Linked DNA regions of Arabidopsis thaliana. The protein of the gene in region 2 interacts with the protein of the main gene of each other region in a pairwise test. Each region holds a gene or a part of one and is shown on either strand. Other genes may lie near its edges. The genes, in order: HAI3, PYL7, HAB2 and HAB1.

What was found.
Region 1: the proteins of PYL7 (region 2) and HAI3 interact in binary tests that used the Arabidopsis thaliana proteins (3 or more experiments, as listed by UniProt).
Region 3: the proteins of PYL7 (region 2) and HAB2 interact in binary tests that used the Arabidopsis thaliana proteins (3 or more experiments, as listed by UniProt).
Region 4: the proteins of PYL7 (region 2) and HAB1 interact in binary tests that used the Arabidopsis thaliana proteins (3 or more experiments, as listed by UniProt).

Annotation. Positions count from the first base shown.
Region 1 is NC_003071.7:12,605,082-12,612,364, reverse strand, and holds HAI3 (highly ABA-induced PP2C protein 3), read right to left. Parts: upstream 3,691-7,283; 5' UTR 3,511-3,690; coding exon 3,142-3,510; intron 3,054-3,141; coding exon 2,736-3,053; intron 2,643-2,735; coding exon 2,241-2,642; 3' UTR 2,015-2,240; downstream 1-2,014. Other genes in the region: SMO2-2 (sterol 4-alpha-methyl-oxidase 2-2), read left to right, coding at 225-362, 553-698, 865-984, 1,080-1,292, 1,352-1,468, 1,553-1,607; AT2G29370 (NAD(P)-binding Rossmann-fold superfamily protein), read right to left, coding at 5,002-5,184, 5,275-5,381, 5,460-5,676, 5,783-5,990, 6,215-6,306; AT2G29360 (NAD(P)-binding Rossmann-fold superfamily protein), read right to left, coding at 7,244-7,283.
Region 2 is NC_003075.7:443,552-450,568, reverse strand, and holds PYL7 (PYR1-like 7), read right to left. Parts: upstream 3,592-7,017; 5' UTR 3,390-3,591; coding exon 3,240-3,389; exon of another isoform or gene 3,016-3,239; coding exon 2,800-3,015; intron 2,730-2,799; coding exon 2,460-2,729; 3' UTR 2,234-2,459; downstream 1-2,233. Other genes in the region: AT4G01030 (pentatricopeptide (PPR) repeat-containing protein), read left to right, coding at 1-2,233; AT4G01023 (RING/U-box superfamily protein), read right to left, coding at 3,849-4,111, 4,193-4,304, 4,390-4,726, 5,022-5,077; AT4G01020 (helicase domain-containing protein / IBR domain-containing protein / zinc finger protein-like protein), read right to left, coding at 5,526-6,793, 7,014-7,017. UniProt on the Arabidopsis thaliana protein: Receptor for abscisic acid (ABA) required for ABA-mediated responses such as stomatal closure and germination inhibition. Inhibits the activity of group-A protein phosphatases type 2C (PP2Cs) when activated by ABA.
Region 3 is NC_003070.9:6,030,356-6,039,115, reverse strand, and holds HAB2 (homology to ABI2), read right to left. Parts: upstream 4,847-8,760; 5' UTR 4,200-4,846; coding exon 3,456-4,199; intron 3,258-3,455; coding exon 2,907-3,257; intron 2,812-2,906; coding exon 2,706-2,811; intron 2,512-2,705; coding exon 2,177-2,511; 3' UTR 1,718-2,176; downstream 1-1,717. Other genes in the region: HLL (Ribosomal protein L14p/L23e family protein), read left to right, coding at 542-575, 820-911, 1,017-1,481; AT1G17545 (Protein phosphatase 2C family protein), read right to left, coding at 5,208-5,528, 5,607-5,809, 5,992-6,007; AT1G17540 (kinase with adenine nucleotide alpha hydrolases-like domain-containing protein), read left to right, coding at 6,475-6,631, 6,704-6,801, 6,901-7,022, 7,112-7,363, 7,454-7,637, 7,719-7,775, 7,880-7,957, 8,055-8,462 and 1 more. UniProt on the Arabidopsis thaliana protein: Key component and repressor of the abscisic acid (ABA) signaling pathway that regulates numerous ABA responses, such as stomatal closure, seed germination and inhibition of vegetative growth.
Region 4 is NC_003070.9:27,386,321-27,395,297, reverse strand, and holds HAB1 (HYPERSENSITIVE TO ABA1), read right to left. Parts: upstream 5,351-8,977; 5' UTR 5,051-5,350; intron 4,660-5,050; 5' UTR 4,301-4,659; coding exon 3,554-4,300; intron 3,443-3,553; coding exon 3,095-3,442; intron 3,011-3,094; coding exon 2,905-3,010; coding exon of another isoform or gene 2,885-2,904; exon of another isoform or gene 2,782-2,884; coding exon 2,447-2,781; 3' UTR 1,971-2,446; downstream 1-1,970. Other genes in the region: AT1G72790 (hydroxyproline-rich glycoprotein family protein), read right to left, coding at 1-450; AT1G72760 (Protein kinase superfamily protein), read left to right, coding at 6,997-7,177, 7,257-7,348, 7,450-7,574, 7,663-7,848, 7,943-8,159, 8,246-8,281, 8,364-8,453, 8,526-8,900 and 1 more. UniProt on the Arabidopsis thaliana protein: Key component and repressor of the abscisic acid (ABA) signaling pathway that regulates numerous ABA responses, such as stomatal closure, seed germination and inhibition of vegetative growth. Confers enhanced sensitivity to drought.

The DNA.
Region 1 (7,283 bases), on a different chromosome or scaffold from region 2:
GATCTGTGATTGTGATACGTGTTGATAAGCAATAGGTTTTCCTTGAACGTCTTCTTAACTTGCTTTTCTGCGTGAGTGACTGGATGGATGGTGTCAATGATATACAATTGCCTTCAGTTTTCGTGGAATTGAACAAATTTTATCTCCCTTTGGCAATCATGTTTAGCTCTTTAGTTTGACAGTTCTAGCTGTGACACTGACCCTTCTTTGTGGCGATGATGCAGTACCTTGTTACGCATTTCAGTGACTTTCAACTGGCGTGTATTGGGAGTTTTATACTTCATGAAAGCGTGTTTTTCTTGTCTGGACTCCCTTACATTTTCCTAGAAAGGACTGGTTTTCTGAGCAACTACAAAATTCAGGTTTGTCTTTTCTTCTCATGATTCAGTGGTCTTCTAACTAATAGCTTTGTGTGTCTGTTCAAATATAAACTGAATGGAAAGATATCACCAAGTTGTCAGTGTTCTCATTTCCCCAATGGTAATGTCAAAGTGATAACTGGTTTAGCTTGTCTTCTAGATTTATCAAGTACTCTTGTTTGGTCTTTTGCAGACCAAAAGTAATACTCCTGAAGCCCAGGGAAAATGCATTGCTCGACTATTACTTTACCATTGCTGCGTAAACTTGCCCCTCATGATGGCGTCGTATCCTGTATTCAGATTCATGGGCATGGAAAGCAGTTTTCCTCTGCCGTCCTGGTATTATCAGGTTCTTTAGTGCTGAAAGCTTTTTTTGCCTTTGGGTTCTGATGTTAAACTCTTCCAATGGGCAATATATATAAAATGTCAGTGTTGAGCTGCATGAGAAGAACCTGCATTATGTTTGATCTGGTTTATGAAACTATATCTGGTGACGCTCTTGCAGGAAAGTGGTGTCTGCCCAGATCTTATTCTACTTCATCATTGAGGATTTTGTATTCTATTGGGGTCACAGGATCTTGCATACTAAATGGCTCTACAAGAACGTGCACAGTGTGCATCATGAGTAAGCTATCAGTACTCACCATCTTTTTTGTGCTTGACAATGTTAGTTCACTCATGGTCCTCAATAAACAATCTTATGGTATTACTTATATACAGGTACGCGACACCGTTTGGTTTGACATCAGAATATGCTCATCCCGCTGAAATTCTGTTCCTTGGTTTTGCTACCATTGTTGGTCCGGCTCTCACCGGGCCTCACCTGATCACCCTTTGGTTATGGATGATGCTCAGAGTTATTGAGACAGTTGAGGCACATTGTGGTTATCATTTCCCATGGAGCCCCTCGAATTTTCTTCCTCTATACGGCGGGTAAGATAAGACTTCTAACCTGTGATTGCCTTGAAAGAGCAACACCTTAAACCTAACAGATCTTTAATATTAATGTGGGAATCATTTGCTTACAGTGCTGACTTCCATGACTACCATCATCGATTACTCTACACAAAGTCTGGCAACTACTCATCAACGTTTGTTTACATGGACTGGTAAATTATTGAACTCTGTTTCTTACTTTAACAGAAGTCATAACTATAATAAACATGTAAATATGTTTATCTATGTTACTTCAGGATCTTTGGCACCGATAAAGGTTACAGAAAACTTAAGGCCCTAAAAGAAACCTGACAACAAACAAACGTGAAATTCGATTCCCGAGAGAGGTCTTGTTCTCAAAAAACCTTCTTTCTTTTGTTTTGTCTCTACCATTTCCTCAACTTTAGTCATAAGAACATCATTATTTGCTACAATTTGGGTTGTACAATCAAAGCTGCTAGTCTGAAGTCGATTCGATGTTGAAATTTATACGTGACCTCGTTTCTATTGGACTTGTTGTTACTACTGCTTACTGTTTTTCTTATTCTTTAGATACTGCTAATACTCATAATTGCATTTAGAACCTATGATCTACTCTCATGTCTTTGCCTAGCGGCAGAGACTAAGTACCTCTTAAAGTATCTTAATGCCTAAAAGTAAAAGGTATAGTATAGTCTGACAATCTTTTTTAAAGCAAAATGCTTTTACATGTCGACCTTCTTAATTTGATTTGATTTAAGATTATAAGCATACACGAAACAGGATTAGGGTTGACAAGAATAATTCTTATCATTTCTATTAATTAACCCTTTTTCGGGGTTTCCATAAAATCGGGTTAATTTTGTATACAACCAACGTATTCCAAGAATAACCAAAAAGCAAAACTGATATAGAAAGTTAAAGCAAAATTGTCTTCCTCTTCGACTAGTGTCCACTTACGTGTCCTTATCTTCTGAGATCAATCACAACGACACTGACGTTGTCACTACTGTTCCTTGCCAACGCCAGCTTTGTTAGCAATACTGACGCTTCCGTACAAGCCTTGTCCGAAATCGCCGGATCCTCATTATCTTGTCTTCTCCCACCACCACGGAGACACATACGCGCTACAGAGCAGGCGGTCTCGTTTGACACAACATCCCATAAACCATCACTAGCTAGTATGAGGCAGTCATCGTCTCTCCTGTCCGTTATGGTTACCTCCGGCTCGCAACTCACGTAAGGTTTCAAATAGTTGTCTCCTATTGCTCGTGACATTGCTAAGACTCCGAGAACTCTTGGACAGTCCCAATATATGACTCGTCCACCAGCTCCTTCGATTCGATCCAATTCGTCTGGCCGATCAGGCTGTGTTTCATTACAAAGAACACAATCTCCAAGTTAATCCACAAATCCAATCATTGCTTAAATGAAACTGAACATGTTTTGAACGGAACTGACCTTGTGATCGGTTGATAAAGGGACTGGTTTCCCATTGCGGCAGAGAACTGCTCTGGAATCGCCACAATTGGCGACAACGATCTTATCTGGCGTAATGACTGAGACAACAGCGGTTGATCCGACGGAATCACAAGCCGGTGTTTGTAGATCACACTTGCAATTTGCAGTCACGACGGAATCACCCCACGATACAACTTCCTTATCCATGCGTGTGAAGCTACGCTCCATCGTCGTTTTCCATTCTTCTTCATCTTCCATATCTGAACTTAGTTCTTCTTGCACCAGCTTGTGAAGCCTCTCTCTACACCTTGCTGCAACCTAAGGAAAAAAAAAAGATTTCGTATCAGCTAAAACTGAAAACATAGAATTTCGGAAAACGTAAGAATGCATGGTAACGGAGTCGTACGTGGGAACAACCATGGCCGTCATACACACCAAAGTAGTGTTGAGGAAATTCCGAATTCTTCGGAGAAGAAAATGAAGGATGAATTGCCACCGCATCTTCCATCTCTCTTCTTCTACCGCACACCGAAGAAACACCGTATCTTGGACTGGATACGTCGACATTTTGGTCAGAGAAATCCTCCCGAGAGCTTCGAGGAATTGAAGAGTATCTCGTAGCTAAAGCCTCCTGTTTACTACGCTTACAATTCTTCTCCCAATCTTCATGCATCACCGTTTGGAATCTCGGCCTCCGCCGTGAATGTGCCGGCGTTGATTCATAAACCGACGACGGACATGCGTCGGTCACTACTTCGTAACATATCTCGGCCATATCCGGGGAAAAAAACCTTAAACTTTGATGTCTTCAAATGGATTTTGCTCTGTATTTCTGATCAAGAAGAACAAAACTCTTTCTTAGATGTTTCAAGAAATGTTTTCTTTTTTGATGAACTCTTTCAAGAACTGGTGATTCCTGTTTTGGTTGCTTCACTGGTTAATAAAAATGCTCGAAAACCATTCAATTTGAGAAATAATGTCATTACACGTTACTTGCATTCTCTATTTTATACACAAAACCTGCCTCTTCAGAAACAATTTTAAATTCTTTCTATAAAAAAAGTAATCCACGTAAGGCGTCAGTATCGAGTGCGAGATTCGTGGTCCAATCAAATTGAGACGGCACGGATGACGGATCATAGGAAGTTTCCTTTCGCGCCACGATGCTTTTCCCCGCAAGGTAGGTTTTGTTTTCTGTATTTAAATAACTAGAGGAATTTCATTACGTTAGTTTTCACATTTGATTACATGAATAACCTAAGTTTAGGTATAAATCAGTGTTTACTTTCAAAACCTAACAAGTTTAGTGCTAATAATTTATGTTTGTCCCTAGACAGTAAACACGTTAACAAAGAAAACCTTAATAAACTTATATCTGAATTTTTATTATTATTGTCTTGAGAGTCCAGAGAATCATCGGAAATATAATATGTATGACTTATATGACAGTAATCAGCTATGTTGTGATGGCAGTCTGAACAATTATTAAACAAATTTATCATCGACAAAGCAATTTGAATTCTCATCGTCCAAATATCCAAGAAATGCGATAAAGTTTTATATACCCAAGAAGATTAAATAACAAGTTACATATATAGTTTGTTTTTGAATTTAGAAAATTTAAGGAATATTTTGTTTACATGTCTATTATTATGAGTCCTTGAATATGATATATGAGTATGTTTCCAACGACATGTCTTTTAGTTTAGTTGATATATAGAAGAAACTTGTTTTGTGCTATGCGTGAGAATAATAATAATAATAAATTTATATCAAATATATATATATATATATATATAATTATGAAGATAATTCTTTCTTTGTTTTGTGTTATGCGTGAGAATAATAATAATAAATTTATATAAATTAAAAAAAATTATGAACATAATCTTTACTCCTTTAGCAAAAGTAATCTTTTTAGGCTTTTAGCCATAACCCCCTAAAGATAGGGATACTAGAGTTGAAAATCGTACGGTCATCATTACATGACTATATAATCATATATCATAAGTAGAATATATACAATAATTATTTTATATATCAAAAGTCACAATACGATTGGAAACGAACAAACATCAAATGTGAACACAAGTAACTTCTTATCCGATAAGATAAAAGATTGAGTTCTTCGTCCAAACATTAGAAGGCATGAACGGAGTGAGCTCCCTCAACATAAGTTACATATAAAACTTGTATGAATTAATATGCAGTGAAACCACTAATTAATCACATAAATTTAAGCATGAATATATGCATATATACGTGTTTAAGGCAAAGAGAAGCCGTTAATAGTGAAACCTCCATCAACGCAAATGGTTTGACCTGTTATATAAGAAGCTGCGGGAAGACATAGAAATGCAACAAGCGATGATACTTCATTTGCCTCTCCAACACGTCTCAATGGTGTCACACTCTCCACCTTTTCTTTTACATCTTTATCACCGAGGAACTGAAACATTTTCACATAAACTTCGTAAGAAATAGTTAAACCATTTTTTCATACTATAAATGAAATGTATTTTCTTATTCATTGTCTTACATCTTTAGTTGACGGAGTTGTAATGAACCATGGACAAACAGAATTAGCCCTTATATTATCACTCGCCCACTCGCATGCTAAATTTCTCGCCAGCTGATTCATGGCTCCTAGAATGCGTATACATTTATTTAAGTCGCGATAGAAGCAAAGAATCATAAATTGTTCGAGTATGCGTATAATTATACCTTTGGTTGCTCCATAGATTGATGTATTACCCAAATTTACAACTCCAGCCACGGAAGACATGAGCACAATGTTCCCTGAACCAGAGGCTTTCAATAAAGGATGCGCGAGTTGCGAGAAATGGAAAGTTGACTCCAGATTTGTAGCTATTATAAATGAGAACTCTTCTGCTGTACACTCAGTCGTCGGCTTTAGTACACCTATTCCCACATTGGGTACCTATACAAACGAAGCAAACAAAATTCAACATGATTTTGGTCATTGTCGATCCAAGCTCATAGACGAGGAGGAGGAGAAGCTTATATATATACACACACACACTTACGAGGATGCTGAGTTTTCCTTGGAAGAGAGAGGAAACAGTTTCCATGAGTTTCTCTCGCTGGTCACGAGAAGAAACATCGCAAACAGAAGTGGTGACTTGTAACCCTTTTGCTTGCCATTCACGTAAGCTTTCTTGAAGCTGAGTTTCGTCTCTGGCACATGTGTGAACTCTTGCTCCCAACATGGCTAGTTCCTCCACCACAGCTTTTCTATTTATACATCAATATGAATTTATACATATCATTAAGCCTTTGATCTTTTCAGGGGTTGATTTGATTAAACATAGAAATACTATCAAAAGATCCACATAAGTCTATGATTGAGCCGTATTAACAAATAAAACGAAAGTCTATACATGATTGAAATCAGAGCTCAGTTTCGGTACTGAAATTATAGGGAAGTAAGTAATTAAGGTAGAAAAATTGGGACTGACCCGAGGCCTTTAGATCCACCGGTAACAAGAGCAGTCATGCCTTCAAGACTCCATTTAGGTTTGTCTCTCAAGCTTTCCCCTCTCTTTGCCATTTTTGGTTATCAGCCACAGAGCAGATATCTATTCATGGAGATTCTTATTTGTAACTCGGTATAGGAAAAATTATAGACCGTTTATACATATTATAATATCACACGTAACCATGCAAGTGTGTTGTAAATGGGGACAAAATATCGGATTCGACATCATTATTGGATGGTTGGTTGTACCAGTCCAGTCGGTTGAGTATTTAAAACTTCATAATTTTATTAGAACTAAATACAAAGTTCATATTTGAGAGTGGTAAAAAATGAATGTACAATATAAAAAACGAAAAGGATAAATAATAATTAGACATATGCTTAAACCTTCCAATTTACAGGTTTTTTTAGATGTCAACTGTCATTATAAATTCCAAAGTATCTGTGTTTGGATATATTTTGAAGTCATATACAAACTATTTAAATAATAAAAAAGGCACACTTAGCCTTCGTTTCTTCATTTTCTATACAATCATTTTCATATTGAGATACAACAAATAAAAATGTGAGCACCTGACTTTGATATATGGGACAACAAACAAACATCTAGCGTCAAAACGACCAAATTACTTATGGTTTGTGAGGAAGCCTTAGAAGGCATGTATGGAGAGATAGGCAGCTAGCTCTATCAACATTCAACACATCTCGTCTTAATTTATCAATTCATCTCTCCCCTTTGGTGGGTGATTTAGGACCGCAGGTTATAACTTATCAATGTCTTGAGAATGTAAGAACGTTGGTGGCTTCGTAGTAACAAATTATACTATAATTAAAAAAAAATTAGTATACTTGATCGGTTAAAACACAAAGCATGCATATATTGTGGAGAGTTGGATTACATTCCAAACGCCAATTTTTTTTGTTTGTTTGTGTAATTGTGTTTATGTTTACATATCTAAACAAATTGTAAATGTTAAAAAAATAACGTAAAATGAAAACAATCGACGTCTTAAGGCAGAGGCTTGAAAGAGAAACCATTAACAGTGAAA
Region 2 (7,017 bases):
GGTTTCTGCGTCGATGGGTTTTTATGGAAGATGTGTGAGTTTGGGTTTTGCTAACAAGTTATTCGATGAAATGCCTAAAAGAGATGATCTTGCATGGAACGAGATCGTAATGGTAAACTTGCGGAGTGGGAATTGGGAAAAGGCTGTGGAACTTTTCAGAGAGATGCAGTTTTCTGGTGCTAAAGCTTATGATAGCACAATGGTTAAGCTTTTGCAAGTTTGTAGCAATAAGGAAGGTTTTGCAGAAGGGAGACAGATTCATGGGTATGTTCTGAGACTCGGGCTTGAATCAAATGTGTCTATGTGTAACTCTTTGATTGTCATGTATTCGAGGAATGGCAAGCTTGAATTATCCAGGAAAGTTTTTAACTCGATGAAAGACCGGAATTTGTCTTCGTGGAACTCGATTTTATCGAGTTATACGAAACTTGGTTATGTAGATGATGCTATCGGTCTCCTGGACGAGATGGAGATATGTGGTCTGAAGCCAGATATAGTGACATGGAACTCTCTTTTGTCAGGTTATGCTTCTAAAGGCTTATCCAAAGATGCCATTGCTGTATTGAAGAGAATGCAAATTGCTGGTCTGAAGCCAAGCACGAGCTCAATTAGTAGTCTTCTTCAAGCTGTAGCTGAACCGGGGCATCTTAAACTTGGGAAAGCGATCCACGGATACATATTAAGAAATCAGCTTTGGTACGATGTGTATGTAGAAACCACCTTGATCGACATGTATATTAAAACTGGCTACTTGCCTTACGCCCGGATGGTTTTTGATATGATGGATGCGAAGAACATTGTTGCTTGGAATTCACTCGTCTCGGGACTTTCGTACGCTTGTCTTCTAAAGGATGCTGAAGCTTTGATGATTAGAATGGAGAAGGAAGGGATCAAACCTGATGCTATTACATGGAACAGTCTTGCTTCTGGGTATGCGACTTTGGGGAAACCTGAGAAGGCATTAGATGTGATAGGGAAGATGAAGGAGAAAGGTGTGGCCCCTAACGTGGTTTCATGGACAGCCATTTTTTCAGGATGTTCCAAAAATGGAAACTTCAGGAATGCTCTCAAAGTTTTCATTAAAATGCAGGAAGAAGGTGTTGGTCCGAACGCAGCAACTATGTCCACCTTGCTTAAGATATTAGGTTGCTTAAGTCTACTACACAGTGGCAAAGAGGTTCACGGTTTCTGTTTGAGGAAAAATTTGATCTGCGATGCATATGTTGCAACTGCACTAGTAGATATGTATGGAAAATCAGGGGATCTGCAAAGTGCGATTGAGATTTTCTGGGGCATTAAGAACAAATCGCTAGCTTCTTGGAACTGTATGCTCATGGGTTATGCCATGTTTGGGCGAGGCGAAGAAGGGATCGCGGCTTTCAGTGTGATGCTTGAAGCGGGCATGGAACCAGATGCTATAACGTTTACCTCTGTCTTGTCTGTCTGTAAGAACTCAGGTCTTGTCCAAGAAGGGTGGAAATACTTTGATCTTATGAGGTCTCGTTATGGTATAATCCCGACCATCGAACACTGCTCTTGCATGGTAGATCTGCTCGGGAGATCGGGTTATCTTGATGAAGCCTGGGACTTCATTCAAACAATGTCATTAAAACCCGATGCAACTATTTGGGGTGCTTTTCTTTCATCTTGTAAGATTCATAGAGACCTAGAACTCGCGGAAATCGCTTGGAAGAGGCTTCAAGTACTAGAACCACACAATTCAGCTAACTACATGATGATGATAAACTTGTACAGTAATTTGAACAGATGGGAAGATGTTGAACGTATACGGAACTTAATGAGGAATAACAGGGTGAGAGTCCAGGATCTGTGGAGCTGGATTCAGATAGATCAAACGGTTCACATCTTCTATGCGGAGGGAAAAACACATCCTGATGAAGGAGATATATACTTTGAGCTGTACAAATTAGTCTCTGAGATGAAGAAATCAGGTTATGTGCCAGACACAAGCTGTATACACCAAGACATAAGTGATTCAGAGAAAGAGAAGCTGCTTATGGGACATACAGAGAAGTTAGCAATGACGTATGGCCTTATCAAGAAGAAAGGCTTAGCTCCTATAAGAGTGGTCAAAAACACGAATATATGTTCTGATAGCCACACCGTAGCCAAATACATGTCGGTTTTGAGAAACCGTGAGATTGTTTTACAAGAAGGGGCAAGGGTTCATCATTTCAGAGACGGAAAATGTTCCTGCAACGACTCTTGGTGATAATATAGATACTACCTAGCTCTGTTTTTTCTAACAATGGTGCGTAAATACAGACACTGTCCAACAAACACCAGAAAACAAATTACATCAAAACTTTGACTGCATGCTCGAAAATGGCCCATGGAGCTGATCTGAGTAAAGCAGCAGAGAAGCATGATCACACGTGCTTCTATGAATCTAAATTTCCTTCACTGAGTTTGTTCGTGGGACTAATCTAGCCAAATCTTCAAAGGTTGGTTTCTGTATGATTCTTCTCTCTGTATCCATTGGAAGCGTTACAGAAAGTTGCGATGGAATTGGTAATGTCTTGAGCAGCCAATCTTTCAGAGACACAAGCCAAGGATTTGAGGTTACACTTTATGAGTGATTCCACGAAGTAACATGTATCATCTTTGGTGTTGCCTTGAGGAACATCCACAACAAAAGACTCCATCACCATAGTTCCTGACCTTCCATCAATCATCTCCGGATGCACAGTCAAGATCGAAGAGTAATTCTGCAGAAAACAATAACCATTATAGCAACCGCTAATGTTTCTGAATACTATGAGATTTGGATTTAGTCACCTTAAGTCTATGATCACCACCAATGATGTTGATACCGAGGATGTGTTCTTCATCATCAAGCTGTTCCAATCTCTCTGTACTGGTGGTTGCTGGAAGACCAGATTTGACATTTACTTCTCTGAGACAACCGATCTCAGGATCACCATTTACAGTGCATCTGCTTATAAATGGTTTGTATTTCTGCGGCTGATCAAATCTCCGCACCAGTGACCAAACCTGAATCATATATGTATATTCACTATCCTTAGCTTTAAGACTAAGAGAGACCAACAAGTAAACTAAAAAAAAAACGAGAATTTGCAAACAAAAATAGAAAGATCGGGAACCCTAAATCCGGCGAAATTTCATTTTCCCGGTGAATCAGACAGAATTAACTTCAACAAAGTACATAAAGAAAACAGAGAAAGAAAAACAGAGGATGAGAGAATAGAAGAGCGTACAAGATGAACAGGAGCTTGAATGTATTTGACGAGAACAGAGGTACACTGGTTCTCTCTGCAGTGGTGAAGATGACGCAACCTTAAGGACTGTGCCGTCACTAGAGCTCCGTACATCTCTGTATCTGTATCGTCTCCTCCGATCATCTCCATCTCCGACCAACCAGATATCTCTTATCTTCTTTCTCTTCTTTCCTTTTGAGGAATCTTGTTGGAAGTGGATATAATAGAAGCAAACAAAGTAAAGCTTCGATTTTTATTTATGTTTGGTTGGTTAGGCTAAGAAAATCAACGAAGACACCGACATATATTAATCCACCAACGGATTTACGATGAACCGACAAATCTTTAAGATAGATTACGTGTCTTAGTTTAACTGGTTTGTCGTCTACCTTTTTGGATTAGCTGTTGACTTTAAGCACGTGTGTATATCTCTCTTCTCCTGCCAAGTAAGCTTCCCAATTTTTACGACACCTATCTATCTCCGAAGTATGATCTCATCTTCTCTAAAAAGTAGATAGATAAAAGAATCTTGTGAGAATCTATCTTATTAGATAAAGATTGTAGCTGATGTCAGCATGAGATCACAATAAAACTCTGTTTTGACCCGATTTACACGTTCCAATTCACCGACTTCATTACCACAAAGGCTTTGGACATATTAGCTTTAGCTGTTTCCATCGTCTCCTCAGCTTCTTTCACCATATCTGCCGCCATTGTCGCCGTTTCTCCCGCCTTTGTGGCCATAGCCGCCACTTTTTCCACCATTGTTTCAATCTCCTCCACCATTTTTACAACCTTTTGCGCTACGCCCTTGGCGTCATCCGCCATTGTCGATGCCTTTTCTAACATTGCTGTCACTTCCTTTACCATGGCTACAAAGAGACATCACCGAGCGAGTTTTGTAAGAGTAGGTTTTTGGTGTCAAAACAGAGAGTTTTGCGTTTTTAACAAACCTCTGGCTTTCTCACGTTCTTCCTCTATTCTTTCCTTGATCTCCACGGCTGTGTCGAAAAGCCCTAGAGTTGGCTCGTTACACACAAAACAAGTATCGTTCTCAGTGTGATGCTGCATTATGAAAAAAAATAACAAGGAAAATCTGTTTTGAGTGTGTTTTCAGAAATTACGAAACTTGTTGTAAGGAAAAGATTACCTTTAGAGCACACTTGTCGCAGAAGTAATGGTTGCAGTTGGTGACAACAGGATCCAAGAATGGGTTTTGGCAAATGGAACAGGCTAAGGGCAATGCATCATCATCCTCTTCCCCTGTTAGCACAAAGTCAGTTTCAAGCTTCCTCGCTGTTTCTTTTTTTATCTTCTTCTCTAGTTTCTCTAATCTGGAGCTTTCGTTATTCGAATCTTCATCTTCTACTGCATCAAGATCTCTTTTCTTTAAGTTTTTAGTCATTTCACCTTCTTGAGTCTCTGTTTCTTGCTCAGCAAGTTGAGATTCTTCCTCCGACGTTTTAGCTTCATCAGAATCTGACATTCTATATCAAATTAACAAGTCAGGATTTATTCTCTGAATGAAACATATACGGATTCTAATTTCGATTAGATGTTATGACAAATCATACACTCTAGAGATCTGATTACCAAATTTAGTTCGAAAAGAGAAATAAGAAACATGATTTCAACTAATTTTAACCAATACGTAACCTAATGAAAACCCTAGTTATTAGATGATTCTAGGGAATGTAGAATCAACCCTTTTACTGAAAATGGCGGCAAAGTTTCTGACTTCGAAAGAAAGAACGGAGAGAAGAAGATTTGAAAATAACCAACCTCGCAGTAAGAGTAAAGCAGTGATGATCAGAAAACATCGCCGGAGATAATAACATCGGCGGTGACGACGCCTTCACGGTGAGAAGAATATGAAGAAGAAAGAAGTTGCAAAAAGATTTGGGGACACTGAACAGTTTAGTTAGGCCGGTGGGTTCGATTCGAATATCGAATTGGGCTTTTAATTAAGGGTAGGCCCATCAAATGTTTTTTTGACTCTTAAGTTAAGGCCATTAATGGCGATGTCTCTGTATGTTAGGAAGTAGTTTTCTTTCAACTTAGTAAACTCTCTGTAGACATTTACGCGTAATCAGTGATGTAGCGAGTCAAGTCCCAAGTCTTTCATTTACAACAATCTTTAGTTTATTTGGCATCCGGATTAGAATATGATCGGTTCATTCAATTGGTTAAAGAAGGTACTATACCGAACTACACTATGTTCACATATATGTACACATTAAGCAAACCAGATGTTACAGGATATAGATACATGGGTCCAGTCCGGTTTCAAAGCCTGTGAACAGGCTGGGCAACAGGGTGCTCTGGGACACCTAACTCGACTAATCCGATTCCACCATGAATTGTCCTTAAATGGGCATAACAAGGTTCTGCCTGAGTGAAGACGTCTAAGCAGGTCCAACAAATGTGCTTTCCACACCGGCACTGCAGATGGTTACACCCATCAGTCTTCTCTATCGTCGACTTGCAAATCGGACACTCCTTTACGTCCTTCCCTTTTGCCCAGTCCTTAAGCGACAAGTCCGGATTCTCCTTGAACTTTTTGTACCTTTCACAAGTGATTAACGGGTGATACTCGAGGTGACACCTTGTGCATGTTTCTGAGTGACATGCTCCACAGATGAATGGCTCACCGGATTCTTGAGGTCCAGCTACACGGTAGATGGAAGGGCAATCAGGTGTGGAGCAAAACCTCAACTTTCCATCACTGGATGTTACAAAAGCGGACAAGGATGCACTGATGAGTTCATCGAGCTTCTCTTGTGATAAGAGGGCTCTCATATCAGCGACTACTATTGGAGCTCCACAGTCTATGTGAGAACAAAGTATTGGGAATGCGTCAAAGTTTCTCATCGATGCCTCAAATTGCTCCAACAAACAAGCTTTGCAGAAGAGGTGTGAACATCCTTCAAGAGAGTAGCCATCATCAACTTCAGACAAGCAAATGGGGCATTCAAGTTCAATCTCATCTGGTTTTTCACCCAGTGCACTCTTTTCTCGTGCAAGTTCATTGACCATCTTTTGTACTTCCTGCCTCATTTCTTTGCTCCCATGAACCTGAATAACATGGTACCGGGTATTGAGCTTGAGATCCACACCATGCACCTTTTCTTTGATACCTTGGAGCTCCGGACCAAACCGCTTCACAACTTCCTTCATGAGGTCAGGACGGATCTCAGGACCTCGGAGGTGGATTTCAAGTTGCTTGCTCTCATGATAATCCATAAGTGACTGAACCAGTTCTTGTTCTGCCTTGGCAATTTTCTCACTTGTTCCACAAATGCGTACTGTGAGATTGTGCCTATCTAATAGAATGTAAGTTTCTGTCTCCTGTTGGATCTTCCGCATCAGATTAATACCATCTCTGGACATAAGATGCTGCACGACTCTAGGTGTGAAGCCTGGATGGTTTATGGGTTTTCCTCTTAAGAGTTCTTCAAGCTCTCTCCGCATCTCCGCAACGGGTCTTGTTGCATAAGCAGTAATTTTAACACGATAAGCCCCGTTATGAGTTGGTTCCAGACAGCATTCACCCCCTACAAAAATATAAACAAACGTTAATGCACATCAAAATTTGGACAAGTTCACAGGAAAAATAGGACACATAAGCTTATGCATTCTTCAAATATCCCTTACCCTACACAATTGTTCTTAATCAATATCGGAGTCAGAAGTAGACATTCAGTAAGGTTATTTGTTGACAGAAGGTAATGAAAATTAAAGAGCAAAAGCTCAAATGTTGTGTAGAAATTTTACCTTT
Region 3 (8,760 bases), on a different chromosome or scaffold from region 2:
GCCGTTTAACTTCTTGATTTAGGAATTTTTCATAACATTAAGAAACTTTGGATTTTGTCTTTGTAAATGCATGAACAATCAACAAAAGTAAAAAGTTCGTAGCAAAAAAAAAGAAGAAAGAAATGTTTGTTATTAGGGCATCACCATTGTTTATTTTTGTTAATTAAGAATTTCAGATTTTGTGATAAACAAATGTTATAGTACATGTGGAAAAAATGTTATGGCCCCTGGTTTTAAAATGTAGGAAAATAAGGTAAATACGAAAAAAAAGGAAAAACGTAGGCGGCAGGATTCGAACCTGCGCGGGCAAAGCCCACATGATTTCTAGTCATGCCCGATAACCACTCCGGCACGCCTACTTTTGACAACGTCACCACTTTTTTACTATATAATTTAATCCATGAGTAAAATCATTACAAGCCCAAATGATCGCTGCGACAGCGAGTGTGTGACGTTAAACCCTAAATCTGGTGTCTTTGTGCAATCGCAAGATTCATTCACTCTCTGCGACACTAAAGATCGAAACTTTTGAATTGCAGAAATGGCGACAGCTTTAGCTTCCAAGCTCTCCAAAGGTACATTTTCATCTCTTAATATTATTATATTCGATAAAGTTTGGTTCTTTAAAAATTAGATTTTTTGCAACATTGATTTAGTATAAGTTTCGAAATGAGCTTTGAGTTTTTGGGTTTGTGATATGTCATGGACTTTGCTTTGGTTCATGAAATGCAGACTCAAGATTAAAACTTTTTTGTTCTTGTTGTGAATGTCACTAATTGTTGGTGATGTCGTTATATGATTCATCGACAATATGAGTAGGACGTTCATTGCTTGGAGGTCTTTGCAATGCTTTCTCTGGTTTGATGAATTCCTCCTCCAATGGAATGATGAATGGAAGCATCCTCTCTCAGGTCAAGCCTCTTTTCGCAAATATACGTCCTTGATGAAACTTTCTTCATATGCATTCGTGGGGTATAACCTGTGAATTGTGTGTCCTGATGATTTCCAATTCACAGCAACAACATAGGACATTCATTCAAATGGGGACGATTCTCAAATGCGTGGATAACTCGTGTGCTAAAGAGGTGATGTGCATTCAATCCCTGAGAGGTAAGAAAGGAGCAAGACTTGGCGATATCATTGTTGGTTCAGTGAAAGAAGCTAACCCAATTGTTCAAAAAAAAGTAAAGAAAGACGCTATCCCAAAAGGTAAAGTGAAGAAAGGGATGGTCGTGTACGGTGTGGTTGTGCGTGCTGCGATGCCTAAAGGACGTGCTGATGGAAGCCAAGTCAAGTTTGATGACAATGCCATTGTAGTTGTTGGCATTAAGGAAAAGAAAGGGCAGAATAATTCACATGGTTCCAAGAGGAAAATGGAGTACAACCAACCGACTGGTACCCGAGTGTTTGGTCCTGTCCCGCACGAGATGCGCCTCAGGAAACAGCTCAAGATCCTTTCTTTGGCTCAGCACATTGTTTGAGACAATACACCACACTAAAACATCAGTTATGATCTCCTTTATGTGACTCTCTTTGATCCATTCATCACTTGGGTTTCTGTTGATTCTTCAACTATCCAACTCATTATTTTTGTTAATTCTAATGAATTATGAAACCTTAACGTACCAATTATGATCTCTTATTTAGGTTTCTTTTAATTGTTAAACTCTACTCTCTTAGTAAAAAAAGCAGGGGAAATAGCTTTAAACAACCATCCTTCTCCAAACCCTTCACTTAGTTTTCATGTTTGATACAGCATCCCTCATTAAACACTTTGGAATCAATATTACCTGTTGTATAACAATAACAATAGAAAAGACAATAATAACTCTTTCACAACAAGTATTTATATATAATAGATTACAGAAAAGTATTAAGGTGAATGTGACATAAATTTCAGTTACAATTCCTTAAGCCACATCTCCAATATTACAACAACATATCCACCTACAAGACTCCAAAGTAAAAACATTTCTTCTCTATTCTTCTTATACATAACAAACATACACATTCAAGTCCATGAGAAAAAGGAATGGACTTCAGCTATGCATCAAGGTCTTAATTCTTCTTCCCCCCAACATTTCACTTCTTATTTTTATGTAAACTTGTGGAAATTTTTTCAATAAATAAGAAATAATAAAATTATAATAGTGTAAGAGCTCGAGCATACACTGTTTCAAGATCTGGTCTTGAACTTTCTTTGAGCTTTCAAGTCGATCACTATGATTGAGATATTGTCTTTGCTTCCCATTTGAATAGCGAGTTTGGAGAGATATTCAGCCGCAGCTTGACACGCTTGGTCTTCTCCTACACCTCTCTCAGCTAAAGGCAATGCTCCATTCTTCTTGTGCCAAGCCAAGATCCGCCTCCTCGCAAAATCGCAAGCTTCTTGGTTACTCATTACGTCCCAAAGTCCATCACTGGCCAATATTAGACACTCGTCTTCTCTAGCTCGTGGCATAAACGTCACTTCGGGATCTGGTATTACAAATGGCTCCAGATATTGATCACCTGAAAACGATGCAGATTGAAACCCACTTTCAGGAGATCTCATGATTTTGCAGAGACTGTAACAGGTAGTAATGATCCTCATCTCTAAATAAGGTTACTGAATGTTTAATTTATCGATAATTTTGACCTATAAAACTCTCTTCATATTTCTGTCACTAGGCAAGATGGAAGACATAAGTGCAAGTTTGACCTACCGATGGACCTGGACATGGCAAGAACGCCAGAAACACGAGCGCCTTGCCATTGTATAACTTTTCCTCCAGCTTTCTCTATTCGTGCATACTCATCCTCTCTATCTGGCTGCAGAGAAAGGGTAAGAAATTTCATGAATTAGAAATAAGAAACTTTCTCAGATTGTGTTAAATTATTTTAGAGGGAAAGAGAAGATTTTTTACTTTGTGATCAACTGATAAAGGCATGGAGTCTTTGCCTCGGAGTAAAACTGCTCTTGAGTCACCACAGTTTGAGACTATTATATGCGATGAACAAACCAAAGCAACCACAGCAGTCGATCCAACGGTTTCAGGGGAAACAGCTTCAAGAACCATCCTATCAGAAGAACCAACAACAGGTCTGTTGATTTTCCCTTTAACCTCATCATCGACTTTTAGGTAACAATCTACAAAGACTTTCTCCCACTGGACCTGCCTACCCTCGCCAGTGTTCCTCCTACACAATTCCTCTTTAATCCGTTCGATTTCTTCAGCCAAAGCAGAGTGGATTCTATCATGGCAATAGTCAGCAACCTGCAAGAATCCGATTTCCACCAAAGCCGTCATATATTACATAACAACCTGCAAAGAATCCCGTTTCCAGCAAACCCTTTATCATATATACATACAACCTACGTCAACAAAACATAAACTCATGTATCTTCCGGGTTCATAGTTGAATTAACTTTCTACTGCTAAAATCAGTATAAGGATTTACGAACTACAGCATACCTGAGCGCCTCCGTGGCCATCATATACACCAAAGAAGTGACTAGTGAGATATGGGAGACTTGGACTCATCCCTTCATGATCCCCCATAAGCATTTTGATGGGTATTTTGAGAAAATGAGGTAAAGCTCTAACAGCATCCTCCATTTCAGATCTTCCACCGCAAATTGAAATCGTGCCCCAAAGAGGTATACACTCTAGTTCATAAACACTCCTGCTTCCTCTTGCTACATTAGGATTTTCTTCAGGTAACCTAATGACTACCTCAGAAGTTGCCACCTCCATATTCACATCGTGATTCAGACTCGCAATAAGGACTTCTGCAGTGGGAACCTGTTCTATGGTTGTCTCGTTTAGGATAATGGCCGTAGCAAGAACTCGCCCGTTATCAGTTTCAACTGTATCTGGCAAACTTATCTCAGACCTAGCGTCCACAACTATTAAACCTTCGCTAATAATAGTCGCATCAGATACTAATGGCTCATCTTCTTCTGATTCCTGGACAGTTACACTAAAATCAGAAGACAAACTTCTCACTTCAGATAAAGTCTTCTCTTCTGAAACACTTCCCATAATACAATCCACCACTCCATTACTATATCTTTGTCTTTTCTGATTACACAACATGTCAGCTGCATCAGTAACATTCTCCAGCTCGGAGATATCGAAAGTAGATGAGATTCCAGAGTCACACATCGTATTAGCTAAACCCAAAGTAAGTGCAACTGCAGGTGAAATCTCTTCCATGAGCTGGTATGCAGCTTCCAAACCTCAACTGGAGCAAAACGATTCAAAAAACTTCATTTTCTTCTCTAAGCTATAGTCTGATGAACTCTACATCCAATTCAGCTTCCCACCGAGACCCACCAGCCGTTTATTCTCACCAACTAATCCAGAAAGCAGTGAATGACGAAGAAGTATGTACCTCCGCTGAACAGATCTGACGGATCTATGAAGACGGATCCTTTGTGAATTCGTGGGATTTTGATCACTCTAACGATCCTCTATAACTCTTGATCTTCATCGAATCAGAAAGACAATAAACTCACACAAACCCTAATTTAGAAACCCACAAAAAAAAAATCAGCCTTTTTCAGATAGATCACACAAGAGAGCAGAGAGAAGACACAAAGGTGAAAACTTTATCCAAAACAAAAACAAAAGTCAGGTGAAATTGAAGAGAAGGGACAACAAACAGAGAGAATTGATATCAATCAGCGAAATGAATCACAAAACACACAGAAAAACCTAAAAAAGTCGAAACCTTTATCTCTCTTATCTTTCCAAAACGAAACGAAACATGGGTTCTCCTGGATCTAATGAGGTTTTTACCCAAAAAATAAAATTAGAAAAATTATAAGCACTCCACGGAATCCCAAGTTTCTTTATGTGACAACGACCTTCATTATTAACACGTTGCTCCAATCAATTATAAAACTAATTTATTAATCTATTCAATAATGGCAACATAGATGACGCGTGTCCTTCCCTCTTAAAGGTCAAGTCTTCTGTTTATTCTTCTAATTTAGTTTTTTGATCCAAGATTGAAAGTATGTTCATGACATATGTTCATGCATCTCATGACACATGTAGTGTTATCATAACGTGGTTAAAAAATAGACAACGAAAGACTTTTCTCGGAGACCAAAGTTTGAAATGGGCCTACATTAAGGCCCAGTCAGCGTCACTTATATGGGCTCTAGCGTCCACTTGTTTACATTAAGGTAAGAAACTTCATTAGCTCTGTCTCAGCTTTTATACTTTCTGATCAACTGATAAAGGCATGGATTCTTTGCCGCGGAGTAAAACCACTCTTGAACCACCACAGTTGGAAACTATGATATGTGATGAGCAAACCAAAGCAACAACAGCAGTTGATCCGACGGTCTCAGGGGAAACAGCCTGAAGAACCATCCTATCATCAGAAGAAACAGAACCAGAAACAGGTCTGCTTCTTCTGTGGCCATCATAAATTCCGAAGAAGTGACTAGTGAGACATGTGAGCGTTGGACTTATTATCCCTTCATGATCACACATAAGCATTCTGATAGGTAGTTTGAAAAATGAGATAAAGCTCTAACAGCATCCTCCATTTCACCGCAGATTGACACAGTGCCCCAAAGAGGTATACACTCTAGCTCATAGACACTCCACCTCCTTCCTCTTTGCTACATTATCATGATGACTTGTAGTAATAAGGACTTGTGTTGTGGGAACCGCATCATCATTCAGGATAATGGACGTAGCAAGAACTCGCCCATGATCCTCTATTCCACTTCCATTGTAGCGTCCACAACTATTATTAAATTCCACACTCGCTTGTACACGGCTGTTTGTTATACGAAAATCATTATTAGCTATATATTATATACTCCATATGGTTTCTTTGAAATATCAAAGGTCCTCCTCATCAGCGACATGAATCACACACAAAAGACAAAGTCCTTCAAACTCAAACCCTTTTGCCCTTTCAAAACCAAACAGGTTACCCCAAGATATTTAACACGTTCGTCGAAACAATTATAAAACTAATTTCAACCTTTGGATTTCCTCATGGTCTTCTTCTTTCTTCTAAAAGATCAAGACTGCCTATAATTCCAAATTTATCTAGTTTACATATATATCAATATAAGATGCCATTACACAAATCTAAAAATAAAAAATCCTCTTTTTGTCTACAAGATATGATATGGAATATCCTTTAAAGATAAGTCGTCAACTAAAATTAAAAAAATCCTCTTTTTGTCTGCCTCTCTGTTCGTTATGACTGTTTAGATTGTTGGAGAAAAGAAAAACCTTCTAATTTTAGCAAAGTGCCAAAACCATTATAAGTTTAAATTTTCTCAACAAACAAAACAGCTCTCCTCTCCTCTTCTCTTCTTAATTCCTTGTTATCATTTTCATTATCATTCGGTCTCCTTATTTCCTCCTTCTGAGGGTAATTGAAAGACCGTACCACAATGTCTTTCTAGTTTCTCCAGAAGCAAAAGTTTCCAGCAATCATCTCGAGGGCTGAGAAACAATGGCTGCAAGAAGACTCAAAGGAAAAGACAGCAAAGCAGTTACCGCCATAGCCATTGATAAAGATAAGAACAGCCAACACGCTTTGAAATGGGCTGTTGAGAATATCATCATCGATTCTCCAAACTGTATCCTTCTCCATGTTCAAACCAAACTGAGTACGTAATGGCATCATCATCATCATCATCATTGTTATCAATCCATCAATCTAATGAAAACTCTTGAAACAGGATTTGGGGCAGGAGAAAACACAGAAGCACCACATGACAACCAAGAAGAGGCGCATCAGTTCTTCCTTCCCTTTAGAGGATTCTGTGCTCGGAAAGGGGTCAGATATCAACCTCTCTTTCTCCTTACAACAATCACATATATATATATATATACACATAGCTCTCACCGACCTCATTAATTATATATTTTCTCTCAGATTATAGCAACGGAGGTTCTTCTTCACGATATTGACATCTCGAGTGCAATTGTTGACTACATCACCAACAATTCCATTTCAAATATAGTCATTGGAGCCTCTGCTCGAAATTCTTTCCTCAAGTCTCTTTCTTTCTCTCATATAACCTAAACTGTAATCTTAATCTGAATGCTAAATCCTATAACTCTCTGTGATTTATGGTCTTAATCAGGAAGTTTAAGAGCGTAGATGTGCCAACGACTCTGCTTAAAACAACACCAGATACATGTGCTGTCTTCATTGTGTCTAAAGGGAAGCTCTTAACAAGCAGATCAGCGAGTCGGCCTCAGACACCTCAAGGTCCTCACACGCCTCAAGGTCCTCAGACACCTCAAGCTCCTCAACACCCTCCTCATCCTTCAAAACATCCCTCAATGATGTCTGATCCTGGCCCAACAAGTTCCACTTCCAGTGAATCCGGAAGGTAATTAATGAACTCAAATTTTATCCGGTTGTCTTGTGAATGAATGCCTTTTTTGCTTCATAGTAGTCATTGGGTTTGCCAATCTTGCAGGTCATCTCCTGCATTGAACGGAGAATTATCTCCACCTACACCTCATTACAAGCCATCTTTGTATAGGAGTTCTATGTCAGAGCTTAGTAATGAATTTCCCAGCGATCACAGTGCTGAATCAAATGCTAGCTTCTACAGCATCCTAGGACGATCCACATATGGAGGAAGCTCACACTCTTCCATGGTTAGTATTCCCATCACGTTTCAAATCGATATTCTTACCACCTATTTGCCTGGCGTTGACATTTTTTTTTCGAATCTGTAGTCTGAGATAACTGATGGAGAGGAAAGCTTATCTGGGGGCAATATCACTGAACACCAGGTAAAATTAATGTTTCAGAAAAGTAGATATAGTGTTTCGGTTATGCTGAGTGTCAGATGCATGATTCTGAGATGTTTGTGTTCTTTGTGCATGACTATGATCAGAATCAAAATCTTGAAGCAGAAGTGAGAAGATTGAGATTCGAATTGCAGCAGTTTAATGCTTCCATGTCCAGAGAAAGTGTAAGATACTTACTTCCATGAGCACAACCGAGAATGTTTCCTTGAACAGGTCCCAAAGATGAGTGACTAATATCAGACATTGAATGAATGCTTGTAGGCCCCTCATCTTCTAGGACCTAGAGCTACCGCCGAAACTGAAAGGCTGGAGGAAGCAAAGGCAGCAAGAGAGATGCTTAGGGCATTGTCTGAGATGGACAAGCAAAAAACACAGACTGCGATCCAAGCAACTGAAGTGGCACAACGTCTAGCGGAAATAGAGACCCAGAAGAGACGACTTGTGGAGATGCAAGCCAGGTTCAAGGAACAGAATATGGCCGATAGTATTTCCTACAGACGATATAGCATCAGAGATGTTGAAGGTGCTACCGACGGTTTTTCAGATGCTCTAAAGATTGGGGAAGGAGGGTATGGACCTGTGTATAAAGCCGTTCTTGAAAACACTTCTGTTGCCATCAAACTCTTGAAGTCAGATGTCTCACAAGGCCTGAAGCAGTTTAACCAAGAGGTAATAATATAATCCGACATTATCCTAATGTATTGCATGTCCTCTCCATACTAATTAACATATGTGTCTCCTCACTAGATCGAGGTTCTAAGTTGCATGAGGCACCCTAACATGGTGATCCTCCTCGGTGCTTGTCCCGAATATGGCTGCCTGGTGTATGAGTACATGGAAAATGGAACATTAGAAGATCGTCTCTTTTGCAAAGATAATACTCCACCACTATCTTGGAGAGCACGGTTCAGAATCGCTGCTGAGATTGCTACAGGACTTCTTTTCCTTCATCAGGCCAAACCCGAGC
Region 4 (8,977 bases), on a different chromosome or scaffold from region 2:
GTACACCGTTTGATCACCGCCGCCACCACCGCGATCATCGTTCCAATAACGCGGCGTTGTACCACTGTTAGATACACGACTTCTTCGATCAATAATCGATGGTGAAGTCGAGAATTTGTTACGAATGTCTTCTTCTTTGTGATGATTGGATTCGTCATTATTGGTGTTGCGGCTGAGGAAGCCGCAAAGGACGGCGAAAAGGACGAGAACGAAGTTGAGATAATCCCAGCTTTTACGGACTAAATGAGGTCGGAAAATCTGAGAAACAGAGGAGAAGAAAGGAGGGATAATGAAGACGACTATGAGGATTGCAGCTGTTCCGGCGAAGAATATTTGAGTGGCGATGGTGGTTGTACGGCCACCGAGACTTGCAGTGCGGCGGAAGTAAGTGTTATTGCGGCGTGATTGAAGCCAAAACGGCGTAGACGCGTCTCCATCATCTTCTTCCATACTCTTTCTATTATTTGGCTTTTGATTAGAAAGACAACTTTTAGTTTAAGAGTGGTTGGCTTACGATGCTGTAATGTGTTTGCTTTTATGCTTTTGCTTGGATTGATATTTGTTTTTTAAAATGCTTGGGGACTTGGATTTGGTCATTTTTATTTGTTTTTTTTTCTTTCTGTGGATTCTTACTTTAATTTACACATTTTTTACAACAAAAAATATGTCTTTGGAGTATTTTAGAGATTTTTTATAGGAGACAAGCAATCGGATAATTGACGTATTTAGTTGAATATCTATGTCAAATTCATCAATTTGCATATATATTTATTTATTACATGAAAATACATTGCGCATTTTACGTAGAGGATATCTGAATTAATTGTATAATGTTCAAATATGTACTAGTTGACTATATACAACTTTACTCGGTACATCTGACCAGTTCTTGAGTTTGAGTCTCGGCAACACAACAGTATCTAACTCCCTAGTCCTAAATGTATGTTTCACAATGATTAGTTGTATAGATAGATATTGCAATTTTCACAAACTATCCATATTACCTGATAATTTGATGTCCACAAACTCTGAAAATCTTACATTTTTTTAATTCTGAATTTTGAACTTGTAAAGAAAAAGGTTCTAGTATCTTAACCATACTCTAGACAAATGACATTTACACCCAAATTTTTTTTTTATAGAATTGTCAAATCTTGATCTTTTAAAATCCGAACCAAACTTTGGTCATACGGTCATGCCTAAGAGAAGGTTCAATTGACACATGATTTTTTTGGGGGAATTTTTTATTTTTATTTTAATAACTTGTTAGACAAGCTGGAAAATGGTGGTATTTGCTTGTGAAAGTTGGAAATGGGAAATACAAAGAAAGGCCTACTAATACAGCTGGATTACATGAAGCAAATACAGATTGGTACGTCAAATAATCAAAATTGTTCAACGGAATCATATGTCTAACGTGTTAATAAACACGTTTTCTATGTGAAGCTGAGGCCGTGATTACTAATTAGTCTTTTAATAATTATATGAGAGCCGGTGTTGTCGTGGCTTTTACAAATGGCCAGGCCAAACCGTCAAAGGCAACATACTATAATCTAATCAAGTCTTGTTATCTTGATAACTTATCTAAAAACGATAAACTTTCTCTCACAAGCTAGATTTTATGTGGTGCCAATGATTAACAGCTTTCTAAGTTTGATTTAAATACACTTACGGTTTCACACGTCACTTCCACATTTGTAGGTATGAGGTTGATTTCTATTTCTACTCAATTTAAGAAAAGAAATATTAACATTTCGTAAAGACTCTAAAATGTTAGATGATTAAGGTAAGTTATGGAAAATGTGATGATAACAGAAAAAAAAATGAAAAACGTGAACGGCAGGATTCGAACCTGCGCGGGCAAAGCCCACATGATTTCTAGTCATGCCCGATAACCACTCCGGCACGTCCACCTTTTGCTAAGTGTATTGCTTTATCAATACTTAACATCAAAATAAAAATCGACCTGTGGTTAAACCCCCAATAAACTCTCATCTCACCGTTAAGTTATAGAACAGCGAAGAACACAACATGAAAAGACAAATGCAAGAAGGTTAATGTGACATAGTTTCAATTACAATTTCATTTGCCACATCTCTCAAACTATTACAACATATTCAACTATTTCAATACCCCAAAAAAAAAAAGCATTTCTCTGCCTATTTCTTCTTATACATACGAATTCAAGTACCATGAGAAAAAAAGGAATGTACTTATAATTAGCTATGCATCATCTTCTTAATCTTCAGTCTTTAGTCTTTACTTCTCCTCCCCAACCCGCATTTCCATTTTTTTTCTTTATTTTTTCTCCCTTCTAACAATATTGAGTAATTAACATGTAAAAACCTGTCGAAATTAGATCCTTAACGATCTAAATTATACGAAAACTCGAAACTTACCCCCAGTAAAAAAAAAAGTAAGTAAGCGTACTGCTTGTAATTAAGCTTCAGGTTCTGGTCTTGAACTTTCTTTGAGCTTTCAAGTCAATCACAATGATGGAGATGTTGTCTTTACTTCCTTTTTGTAGAGCAAGCATTGAGAGGTAGTCAGCTGCGGCTTGGCAAGCTGGATCTATTCCTTTGCCTCTCTCTGCTAGAGGCGGTGCACCGTTCTTCTTGTGCCACATCAATATCCGTCTCCTTGCTATTTCGCAGACTTCTTGGTTGTTCATTACATCCCAAAGACCGTCACTGGCTAGTATGAGACACTCGTCTTCTCTTGACCGAGGCATGAATGTCACTTCCGGTTCTGGGATCACATATGGCTTCAGATATCTGTCACCTGCATAGTTCCAGAGGAGGAAAGAAACCGGAGGATCTAATGTTTCATGTAGGGGAGTAATTACATTATCAAGCCACGTTTGTGTGATGTGCATTACTGGTCATCAAAAGAAGCAATGCTTACCGATGGACCTAGACATGGCGAGAACACCAAAAACACGTGCGCCTTGCCATTGTATAACTTTGCCTCCAGCATTTTCTATTCTTGCATATTCATCCTCTCTATCTGGCTGCAGAAAAATGGAAGGAGGTAAGAAAACACTTTTATCAACTTTGTAAGTTAGATTGGGGAAAGAAAAGGAAGTTCATTTTACTTTGTGATCAACTGACAAGGGCATGGCTTCTTTGCCACGGAATAAAACCGCCCTCGAATCACCGCAGTTAGAAACTACTATATGTGATGAGCAAACCAAGGCAACAACAGCAGTTGATCCTACGGTCTCAGACGCAACAGCCTCAAGAACCTTATCAGAAGAACCAACAACGGCTCTACCAATTTTTCCTTCAATCTCACCATCGACAGTTAGAAAACAACTCGTGAAGACTTTATCCCACTGCACCTGCCTACCCTCTCCTGTATTCCTCTTGCATAATTCGTCTTTTATACGTTCTATTTCTTCAGCCAAAGCAAAATGGAGTCTATCTCGGCAATAGTCAGCAACCTACAAGCCATTGTAGATTTAAAATCTATGAATTTAACCAGAACATCTCAAAGAGGTGTATAACAATCTACATTGCTAAAACAACTTACATAAAATGTGAATATAGCATACCTTATGGCCTCCATGACCATCATAAACACCGAAAAAATGACCGGTGAGGTGTGTGAGGCTTGGACTCATACCCTCATGGTCCCCCATAAGCATTTTGATGGGTAGTTTCAGAAAATGAGGTGACACGGCAAAAGCATCCTCCATCTCAGATCTATTCCCTTGAATGGAAACCGTGCCCCAAAGCGGTATACAATCTAGTTCATAAACACTTCTCCCTTTCACCAGATGATTACTATTTTCATCTGGCAATCTAATGACAACCTCCGAAGTATTGGTATCCTGATTTACACCCGCGATAAGAACTTCCGCGGTGGGAACCTGCTCAATGCTTGATTCGCCTACGATAATCGCGGTTGCAAGAACTCGCCCGTTATCTATTTCCATAGCTGTATTAGACAAGCTTAATTCAGAGCCTGCATCAACAACTAACAAGCCCTCACTTATGACAGCACTATTATCCTCCACAACAGACAATACATCGTCTTCATCAAAAACATTGGAAGACCCGCTTCTCGTATCGGATAAAGTTTTCAACAAATCCTGTTCACCTACCTCTTCCAGTTCAGAAACATCTTCCATAGTGCATTCAGTCCCTCCGTTGCAAAAGCTTTGATTTTCAGAATCAGATAACAAGTCAGCTGCATCAGTAACGTTCTTTAGCTGAGTGATCTCGACAGGTGATGATTCACACATGGTGTTGGCTGCTAAGCTAAGAGTCATTGCAACTGCGGGAGTCATCTCCTCCATGAGCTCTCCAAAATCAGAGATTTCCACACCACACCACAACAAAGCTTTAAATTTCAAAGATGGACTTAGGAGAAATCAATTGTTTTCATCTTCTTCTTCGAATACTCTAAGCAATGGTTTCATGATGTTGAAGAATCCTTGCTCCAAATAAGTTTTTGTCAGCGACCCAAATGCCGCTTTATTCATACACTAACTTAGCATAGTTAAAACGACGAATCAAGGAGAATTAAGTACCGGAGATAACCAGATCTGACGAATCTATACGACGAATTCTCCTCACTCGATTATATCACTCTCTTGATCCCAAAATCGCAACAACTTCGTCGATCTTTTCTCAAATCCTTATCTTGATTTCAACCCTATTGAGAGATCACAAAGCACTAATCAAAAACTCACGAATCATTATCCAAACGGTCATGTCAAAGAAAATTCACACAAAAACCAGAAAAAGGAGGGAAAATCAGCGAAATCAATCACAAGAAAGCCCTAAAAAATTCGAACCATTAACGTCCATAATCATATAGTAGAACATGGGTTTCCTTGGATCTAAATTAAAAAAGAAGCTTTAGCTTTACCCAGAAATAGAAAGATGAATTTAAACTTTGTTCTTAAGCAAAACTAAACACAAAGCTCAAAACAACAAGAGAGATTCGACACATAATAGCAAAAATCTTCCGATTGAAAAGCTAACTACACAGAAAAACAACATAAAAAAATCAGGAAAGAAAAAAGAAGAGAGAAAGAACTAACCAGTTGATGAATCTTTAGAAGATATTCGCATCTGCAAAAAAATTAAAATCGAACAGAAGAGAGAGAGAGAACAAAAGTAAAGATGTTCTTCTTCTTCTTCTTCTTTTTATTTTCTTCCCTCAGGATTATTTCTCGCTCGAGCTAAATTGCTTAGAGAGAGGCTCTCTCTATCAGCGAAACAAAGAGAGAGAGAAGAGAATATTGTGTGGTTTGCTTTTTCTCTCTGTTTTTTTTTATTCCTTTTTTTCTTTGGTTTTGTAATATAATTTATAGGAAAAAAGAGTATTTATTACAAAAGAGGATTAATAAAAGGACACGTATTAGTCTTTGTATCATTTTGTGAACTTTGTCCTCTTTTTTTCTTCAACTTTTTGTCCTTTTTCTTTTTTTAAGGTCGCTTCAGGCAACACCTGTCGATCAGCTAACAACAACAGATGTTATTTAATTCCTTTTTTTCCCATTTATTTATTTTCAGAACCAAAAATATGTTTACAAATGGAAATTGATTTCTTTCTCTTTCCTTTTTTTAAAAAAAAAATATATCATAAAAATTTATATAAAGTAGAAAAACACTAATTATTTCCATAAAATTTTGACATGTAATATTAACCACGAAAATTAGATATAGATAAGTGAGTATCTTAGTTGTACAATCTGACGTGTAGATAAGTGAGTATCTTAGTTGTAATTTGTATTTGATATAACTGTAAAATGAATAAATTGTATTAATAGGATCAATGAAATCTTGACACGTAATATATTGGTTCAGCAAAAATTTCCCATATATTTTATTTAAACTGATCAAGTTTTAGTTTTGAAAGCTATGAGTAAGAAATAAAGATTGGTTTTATAGTTACGAACTTGTCTATAGAACTCTCTAGGTAAGAAAGAATAACACAAAATTATTGTTATCAGTAAGAATGAATCAGCCTAAAAAAATAAAAATATTTATGTATACTTTTCGATAACGTTAAAGTACAAGTTCTCACAATCAGTGTTTAATGGAATCGTCTTAAGAGTAATAATCTTTCGAGAGACGTATAAGATATGGTGATATCGCCAAGAAGAAATAAAGATGGAAGACGACAGCCCCAGAAAATTATATTATTTGGTCGTTTACCTTTTTTTCTTTGTTCTTTTTGGATACGTAAATCAAAAAATGCAACGTGTGTTTGTTTTTTTCCAAGTCAATAATCGCAATAATTTCGATTTCTACCACCCGCCCACGTGGCTACTCTGATTGATCAGGGACGAAAATAATAAATATTTTGTTACACCTCTAGATTTTGTACTCATAAATTTCAAATTCGTAGATACATATATTGCTGTTGCATTATTATCGAAACTCAAATTAAGTAAATGTGTGTAAATTGAGATGTGTGATCATGTTTAAACATAACATTCTATTCTCTAGTCTATTTTACTCTCTTTTTTGGTTCAACCTCTAGTCTATATAAACCTAAAAGACTAAACCATATGTTTGACTAGTTTTACTAATATTTTTATCTAAAAACTTTGTTTTACTGATTAAGATAAAATAATCGATTTAATATTTTGATAATGTATAATCGAATTTTATTTTAATCGAAACGCGTACATTATAGTACAAACTAGATCTCACCAGCAACTTCCCAAAAATCACTCTCTAATTAAAGATAAGTTGAGACTTGTGGAAATTTCCATTCTTGTTTGTTTGTTTCACAAGACTGTTGAGTTGTTTGAGAAATAAACCCTCCAAAATTAGAAAAATTGTAAAACCACTAAAAGCTTCATCATCTCACAATACAATTTTCTGTTTCTTTTCATTGTTCATTGTTTCTTCTCTGAGGTTGCAAAGCCAGACAAAAGAAAAACAACACAATCGATCTTGGTTGTGGGTGTTTTGTGACAAAGAAGACATGAGATCATTTATGAGTATTATAGTTTCCTTGTGAAGCAGGTTATTCATGTTTCTTGGGAAGCAAGATTCTAACATGTCTGCAAGAAGAGTTAGAAGGACCTCGGAGGACTATGGCAGTATCACGGCGATCGCCATTGATAAGGACAAGAACAGCCAACACGCCTTGAAATGGGCCGTTGAAAATATTGTTGCTGATGCTCCACAATGTGTCCTTATCCACGTTCAACGTAAGCATCTCTCGCTCTTCTCTTCATCATTGAAACCAAAACGTCAAAGAGCCACCCTAATTAGGAGTATGTTTTGCAGTAGGAGACACAGGAGGACATTTTCATCAGGACAATCCGGACGAGGCACATGAATTCTTTCTTCCTTTCAGAGGATTCTGCGCTCGAAAAGGAGTTAGTATTAATCGATCATTTCCAATCTCCTTGCAACAACATTTCACACTTATAATGCATCAAATATGATCATGACATTCTTGTATATACACACTTTTCAGATCATAGCAAAAGAGGTTATTCTTCATGATATTGACATCTCCAATGCTATTGTCAACTACATCACCAACAATTATTACATTGCAAATCTTGTTGTTGGCGCATCTGCACGCAATTCCTTCCTTAAGTCTCTCTCCTCTTCTCTGTTTCATGCTTGGTATCATCTCAACTTTGGTTATACAAAATGCTAACATTCAATTTTTCTTTGTGATCAGAAAGTTTCAGAGTCCAGATGTACCAACCACTCTGCTTAAGACGACTCCAGAGACTTGTGCCGTCTTTGTTGTGACCAAAGGTAAGCTTTTAAAAAGCAGATCCGCGAGTCACCGTCATAAACTTTCCAGACAACAAAATCTCTCTTCTTTGTTGTACAACTCAACAAACTCCATTGACTCTGACAGGTAATCTCAACTCTCTTCTAACCATTGGCCATGGTTTTCTTTTCAACAGGATTTAGTGAAGTATGCCTTTTCATTTTGTTTACATTTTTTACAGCGCATCAATATCATCACCTGTATCTACACAAACCAACAAACCAAATTCAAATTTTTTCCAACCTAATTCACCTCGCATCTCAACACCGCAATCTATGAGTGAAATCTCTCAGTCAGAGACTGACAATGGAAGTTGTGATATGGTATCAACTGTGAGTTCTTACACCGTCTCTGATAGTTCCACTACCATCGGAAGCTCGATCTCTTCAACTTCCACGGTTAGTAGTATATCGTCACTTTCTTATAAATGTTCAGTTTCTCAGTGTTCTGACATTTCCTTCTTGGTTTTCATACTGATGCACAGGAAAGTCCACTTGTCGGAAATTACGTGGAACAACAGGTAAAGCTTTTCAGGAACATAAATTTGGTCCTGGATTTGCAGAATGTCAACATGATTTGATATGGTCTATCCTTTTTGACAGAATCAAAATCTTGAAGCAGAGGTGAGGAGACTGAGACTGGAATTGAAGCAGTTTAACAAGGACAAAGACACTACAAACCAAAAAGAAAACGTAAGATACTGTTATCTTCCATGTTGATGACAATTGTTGTGAATAATAATCATTAGATATTACATTATGTAGTCCCAAGAAACCCCATGGTCAGATGAAAAAATAGAGCTGCCTAGAGCATTGTCTGATAGGGAAACGCAGAAAACGCAGTCTGCTGCATTCCAAGCAGCTGAAATAGCAAAGCGCATAGCGAAAATGGAGAGCCAAAAGAGAAGATTACTTGAGATGCAAGCCAATTTGGACAAACAGATGATGTTCACAACGGTTTCTTACAGACGTTATAGTATCAAAGATGTTGAAGATGCAACCTATGGTTTTTCTGATGCTCTAAAGATTGGGGAAGGAGGTTATGGACCTGTTTACAAAGCTGTCCTCGATTACACTTCTGTCGCCATTAAAATCTTGAAGTCGGGTATCACAGAGGGACTGAAACAGTTCCAACAAGAGGTACTGTGTTAGTTTATATTGCTCTCCTTATTTTGCTTCTCCTTCTCCTGACTCATACATATGTTTCTTCAATAGAT